Linked DNA regions of Arabidopsis thaliana. The protein of the gene in region 2 interacts with the protein of the main gene of each other region in a pairwise test. Each region holds a gene or a part of one and is shown on either strand. Other genes may lie near its edges.

Region 1 (3,759 bases), on a different chromosome or scaffold from region 2:
AGACCCCACAGGGAGAAAACAAGAAGAGCAACAGCTGGAACCAATTTATATACAAAAGGGAATTGTTGCATCAACCCGTGTGACCTGCAAAAAACGGAATGCAAATAATTACAGAGTGCAATAAAAAAAGAAGAGAAATTACGAGAAACATAAATGCACCCCCTCAGATTTCCCCACCAAAAAAATTACAACTTCCCTAAGGGGAGCCATGGTAATGACAAGGCCTGCATACATCAATGTTTGGCTCAAGTCCACAATGTTTATGAGTAGAGTTAATTCATTCATTTTGAGTTAGATGCCCAAATATTACTATGCAATCATTCAGATCCATGAAGATCAACTAAATAAAAATAATGATAGTTTCCAATTTTACAAGGTGGTCATTCTGCATGTGATGATAGGAAACAAGGAGTCTTACTTTGTTAGCACCACGGTGACAGCTTTAACAGCAGGTTCAATTGCCTTGCCGCTTGCAGAAAAGGAATGACACCTAAAAGCGGTGGTTCTGCATGGAACTGAACAAATAGGCCTACGAAGGTAATTTGAGAGTAATATGTTGCTGAAACCATGTTGTCCCAACTATAAGCAGAAAAGTAATGTTACTAACTATCAGCAACCGAATTTGAAAGGCTAGAGTAAATTTTGTTTGAAATATTACCGGAACACCTAATGAGAGAGGACCATTTGATATATGCAGCCTCCTTCTCATGGCACTCTGAAAAATTGTACATTTTTCGAAAGATGAAGGGAAGAAATGATTAAAAGAAAAGGATGTCAGGGCTAAAATGGAAGAAACATACATTTTCTGGATTACAAAACCGTTGGTTTCTGCACAAACCCAGACTATGAGACAACTGCAATGTACCATAAAGGGCCATATTTTAATCAGATTCAATGACTTAGCCAGTAACGTTAGTGGCACCGATCATAAGCCTCACAGCCTAACGGAAAGAGACTAATGAATGCCAACACAAACTCTGCACCGTAGAAATGAAGCAGACCAGTTAAAACCTGTGTGTATGATTCAGATACAGCAAACAGTAGACCATTGAAAGTCTAGCTTCGGTGGGTGGAACAAAAAGTAGTAAAATTTGCATTTCTTAAACTTCCAAATCTCTCATTCACAAAACTGTGAGAATAGTTGAAGCAATTATAACCTATGGCAGTGTGATCCTTAAGATTCTTAGCAATCAACAAAATCTGCTACTGAACTGAGAACGAACTAGAGCTTACGAAAACACAAGACCATTCAATTTCGTCGGCGTGCCATATTCATTACCAGAGAGTAACCTAAAATCTACAACTTGGATTAAAATTCTCGATCACAATCCCAACTTAACTCAACTTAAAACAGCTAATTTTAACCTAATCTCATCTCGAGGAAACATCCAACATCAAAACTTACAAAGTTAAAATTCCTCATGAAAACCAGACGAAACCCGAATTCAAAAATCGGAGTTTACAATCGAAACTCGGTAAAGAACCATAAACATATTAAGGGTATAAAATACTTACCCAGTGAATCAAAAATCGAGGGAACAAACAAAATTCTAGGGTTTGAAGTCTTCTTCAGGGAGATTCTTCGAAGACAGGACGAACAAGGGGATTCGCATTTAGCAGACACAAGAAACGATGCCGTTTCGTATTGAGAAACGTTCCGTGTAAAGTGGAAAGTGGTGAACAAATTGCCACGTATTTCGACACGTCAGACTTGTTGCGGCTAATAGATTCGTATAAAAAATTGATGCTTGGGCATATTTATTTACAAAATCATCCTCATAGGAACGAATATAGAAAGAAAAACAAAGAACAAGTCCATGGTGATTTCAGGAATCAGGACCAACTATCAAATATAATGTACATATCTTAGAAATATCTTCTTAATGGAATGTCTATTTGTTTTTGCACTGTCCATGGTGATTTCAGGACCAACTATGATCTCACAATCTAATCTTAAAATAGAAGCCAAAAAAAAAAGAGGACGAGACTAGTTTGTTTCCGTTACCGTTTAATTAGTACGAGTATCAATGTATCATCAATCAACCAGCATTATGCTTTGGACTATTATTCAGATCCAATGTTGCATGTGTTTTAAATAGCAACTTATCATTAATACTATGTATCACCGAATCTTTCTCTACGCCATTCTCTATCAACAAGATTAACAACAATAATAACGAGAGAAAAAAAACACATCTCCTTTGGTTGTCATGAACGAAACCTCCAGAAAAAGATGAGATTTTGTTCAATTGATTGAAATTTTTTTCAAGAAAAAGATTAGAGAATAAAGATGCTACGAAGAGCTGCGAGCAATGCGTACTCCTGGTGGTGGGCAAGCCACGTTCGAACCAAACAATCCAAATGGCTTGAAGAAAACCTTCAAGGTTACATATTTTTACATTCCATATTATCATCATTTTTCACTTCTTCCACATATTTTTGATAAAATGTTTATGTAGATATCGAGGAGAAGGTGGAATATGCACTTAAGCTTTTGGAAGATGAAGGTGATTCATTTGCTAAGCGTGCAGAAATGTATTACAAGAGAAGGCCTGAATTGATAAGTTTTGTAGAAGAATCTTTCAAGGCTTATCGTGCTTTAGCAGAGCGGTATGATCATATCTCTAAAGAGCTTCAAAACGCCAACACCACAATTGCATCTGTTTTTCCTGACCAAGTCCCTGAGTTTGCCATGAACGAAGATGACGACGATGATGCTCCTGTCTCACCTAGACACCATAAAAATAAGACATCAAATAAGAATGTTCCAAAAGTTCCTGATTTGCCCATAAAAGACCCTGAGGCTGCCAAGAAGATGTTCATGTCAAGGAAAGCTATTCAAGAACAGAATGCCTCGTCCGTTGTTAACAAGTCCGGGCTGAGTAAAACCGAGGCGGTGGAAGAGATTGACAAGTTGCAGAAAGAGATTCTTGTTTTGCAAACTGAGAAAGAGTTTGTGAAGACTTCTTATGAGAATGGACTTGCAAAGTATTGGGAGATTGAGAAATGTATCATGGAGAAACAAGGGAAAGTTTCTAGTTTGCAAGACGAGTTTGACGAAGGTGCTGTTGTTATAGAAGATAAAGAAGCTCAGATATTGATGTCTACCACAGCTCTCAAATCATGCCAAGAGAAACTAGAAGAGCTGAGAGATAAACAGGAACAAAATGTGAAAGAAGTAGATGTTTCAAGAAAACAAATCAGTGAATCAACAGAGGAATTTGGTAATCTTTCTGATGCATTGCTTGGTGATGGGAAAGGAAACCATGAGATATACAGCGAGAAAGAGAAGTTGGAGTCATTAGGAGAAAAGGTAAATGATGAGTTTGATGACTCTGAGGCTAAGTCATGTCTTACTATTCCAGACGTGGCTGATAAAATCGATGAGCTTGTGAATGATGTGATCAATTTGGAGAATTTGTTCTCATCTCAAGCAGCTTTAATACACAGACTAAGAGAAGAAATCGATGATCTCAAAGCACAGATTAGAGCTCTACAAAAAGAAAACAATTCATCTCAAACTGATGACAATATGGACATGGGAAAGAAGTTGAAAGAGATGGAGGAAAAGGTGAATGGTGTTAAAGATATAGACCAAGAAGTTGAAGAAAAGAGTGACAACATTGATAAACATCTTACGAGAGCACATATGAAACTAAGTTTCTTATCCAAGAGATTAAAAAGCTTGACGCAAGAAGGGGAAGATGAAGAATTAAAGGCTACTAATGTGCCAATTCAAGATATAGGATCTTTGACTGA
Region 2 (3,424 bases):
CATTGATAATTGTGCACATCCATAAGGTTAAGTATAAATATATGTTATAATTATTATGTAAACGTTCATATAAATTAATGGTGCTTATCAATTTTAGTAACAGAAAGGAGATGAGATAATAGAAGAAATAGGTTGAGATGCTGAAGAAATCAGAGAAGGAAAGGAAGAAGAAAGGAGATGATGAAGAAGATAAACATTCTTGAGTTCTTAATCGATAAACGTTTACCAAGCAAGACAACAAACTTAAATAGAAAGCAATACTAAGAATAACAGGCTTTAAACAATATAAAGCCCACAAGCCCAATTCATGACCTATCAGTGTCAGGTTGGAAAACTTTGTTGAATCTCTAGGTTTTTCTCTTGGTTTCTCTTAACTTGATGAGGACATTTAATTTCTTGTATCAGTGATCTCAATATTTCGGAGTCTTATTTTCTTTTAAAAATTTCACTCGACAAACATATGAATGTTCCAATATGAAATCGATGATACTAAACTCATAAATTGAAATTTTCACAGTAGAAATTCTATTTTTTTTTTAATCGATTACTAATAATTAAGGCCCAAGAACTCATTAAGAATCTGTCTTCTTCGTTGTTCAAGTCAGTTAAATAGAACTGTTAGTGCAGAGAGCTGTCTGTAACGAACAACTAAATCTTCTCATATTATTTAGTTATTCATTATAAAATTCTGGCTTGACAATCTCTCTTGGCTATTATTATCAAAGTCCGACTGAAATTTTGACTACATAACTAACAGATATTTCACTGGCCTTGAGCGAGGCACAAACTAGTGGTCTACTTTTAGAGATCACCGTGGTGAAATGTTTGATTTCAAGATTGTGTTTATGGAACAATGATGGAACTTAACTAGAGACTTCGAGCTAACAATGTTTTAGGATCAAGTATTCAAATTGATTCAGTTAGATAAGATTTGGTTGTATGATTGTCTAAATGATTTTTATTTGATGTGTGAGGACAAACTCATATCCAAAATTCTCATGGTATTAAATAAGAAACATAAATGTCGAAGTTGAAAGCAAAGTGTCCGTAGCATGGAGCGTACGGCTGGACAGTTGGGGCAGCCCACGCTTTCGCATTTAAACCATTGCTAATTTGCTATATATCTATACACACTATTTGAGTAACTCCGGAAGAGTTATATATTAATTGACCAGTAGTGATTACTCGCAAGTAGCACAACGTCTGTTAAATTATTGAGTATGTAAATGCAACTTTTACCAAACTAAACTTCACTTTAAAACGTTGTATGAACTATGAAGCAAATAGTGGTGTTCTCTATGCAGTACCTAATAAGAAAATCATCATTTCAAAGAACAGATACATGCATTTAATTTTAGAAGAAAAGTCGTGTTGGTATTATTGGTATGACACGTAAATGGAAGAAATATAAAGTCAGTTGGTGGGTCATTCTGTACGAATGGACCATAGTACGGCGTTTATTTCCCCCAAAATTCATTAATTTCACTAACTCATCTTTAGAAAGCAGTACTATATCCGTATTTATCATTTGGATTATATATAACCGCATGCACTAATAGACTTGACACTGTTCTTCCTTCTACTACGTTTGCAATAATAAAAACAACCATGCAACAACTTTTTAAAAGAACATTAATCATGCATGGTTTCTAAAAATCTGTAAAAAGAGAGAAAAGAATAGTGACAAATTGACACTGCACGAGACATTCGGAGTCACGGAATTGTACATATTTTTGTACTGTCCCTGCTTCGTATACTCCAAGTACGTCCCCCGCAATTTACGCCTCTCTTTTCCTAATTCTTTTATGTTCCGTTGAAATATATAACCACATTTCAGACTGGATTTATCTATTTAAATTTATGAATTATACCATACATTTCCACGCAACATCTCTTTCACAACTTTTCCTATTGTCCACGGCAAATGCAGAGCGCTACGACCTCTTTTCCACGAAACCAAGAAATAAATATATTTATGACTGGACTTTTTTTCTTTTGAATCGGACTTGTCTACTTTAATTCACAAAATTAAAAATATATGTTAATAAGTGTACCTAGCAAGTACAACACTTTTCCAGTTTTACCCTCGTCTCTCTATTTATAAGACCTTCTCACTCTCTTGAGTCTTGCCTCTTGTAAATCACACTACTCGGCTCTTTAGAGGTTCTTTGGACGATGAAACAACTAATCCGCCGTTTATCGCGTGTCGCGGACTCAACACAGTATAGCCTCCTCCGGTCTGAATCCCAGCGTGGCCGCACCAAGAAGGAGAAACACAAATCTTGGGTTCCCGAGGGGCACGTGCCTGTTTACGTAGGCCACGAGATGGAGCGGTTCGTGGTGAATGCGGAGCTGCTCAACCACCCCGTTTTCGTAGCGTTGCTGAAGCAGTCGGCTCAAGAGTATGGATACGAGCAACAAGGAGTGCTTCGCATCCCTTGCCACGTGCTTGTGTTCGAACGCATCTTGGAGTCTCTCCGTCTCGGACTCGCCGATCGAGTCACATGACCTACACGATCTCTTTTGAGATTTAAGAAGTTTCTAGTGTCTTATAGTATCTTGCTAGCTATAGGGGAAACAGAGTTATGTAAATTACATATTCTTTATCTAATTGGTTTATCAGATCTATTTGAAGATGGGATTATATATATAAGTGAAATAATCGAGATTTAAGGCTTTTATTTTTCTGGTTTTCATCAACACATGCATGAAGAATTTGGTTTGGAGAAACCGCCGCAAGATGTTTCCCATAAGTATGGCAACAGTATCATTAGCTTCTTCCCAAACTTGGGGGAATAGATAACCTCACAAAATCAATAGATAAGCTCACAGAAAAACAAAATGTGCCACTCTTTTTTTTTTTTTTTCCAGATAAGTAAGTGGCAGGGAGTATGTATGATCCCATGTTACTTCACCTCCACAACCACATTCGTAGTCACCCATATTTATTAGCTTTTGTATTTATTTTTTTCATTTTCTAACAAAGGATCAGAAACCGATCATACAGCTAATTTTATGTGATTGTGAATAATTAGAGTTTTTTTTATTATGAATCTAGATATATACAACAATCAATCATGATTAAAACCATACTATACAAATTCGAACTTTTGCTTACAAAAAAAAAAAAGATTCGAACATGGTTCATCAATCGGATGGTGAATTTTATGACCATAAGAATAACAAGAAAAATCTTACAAACCCCTCATTTATTACGTTTTCTATGTTTTTAATTAAATAAATTATGTTCTGCTATTAAATTCCCAAAATCGAACTACAAGAAAGTAATAAAAACATTATGATTATTGCATTCCCAAACCATACATTAGTGCTTCTCTGTTTCGCATTGTCAAAGTCACCATGGTCCACACGGCGATTGAAATCTACAATATACAATTATGTTAGAATCAGAATGAAAATAATT

What was found. The genes of interacting proteins can lie anywhere in the genome.
Region 1: the proteins of AT1G56150 (region 2) and NET2C interact in a two-hybrid assay, tested with the Arabidopsis thaliana proteins (one large-scale study listed by BioGRID).

What each region holds. Positions count from the first base shown.
Region 1 is NC_003076.8:3,303,128-3,306,886, forward strand, and holds the start of NET2C (Kinase interacting (KIP1-like) family protein), read left to right. Parts: upstream 1-2,159; 5' UTR 2,160-2,290; coding exon 2,291-2,384; intron 2,385-2,459; coding exon 2,460-3,759. Other genes in the region: MSL2 (MSCS-like 2), read right to left, coding at 1-84, 419-579, 659-715, 801-878. UniProt on the Arabidopsis thaliana protein: Plant-specific actin binding protein. May be part of a membrane-cytoskeletal adapter complex.
Region 2 is NC_003070.9:21,015,257-21,018,680, forward strand, and holds AT1G56150 (SAUR-like auxin-responsive protein family), read left to right. Parts: upstream 1-2,054; 5' UTR 2,055-2,175; coding exon 2,176-2,508; 3' UTR 2,509-2,866; downstream 2,867-3,424. UniProt on the Arabidopsis thaliana protein: Plays a role in the regulation of cell expansion, root meristem patterning and auxin transport.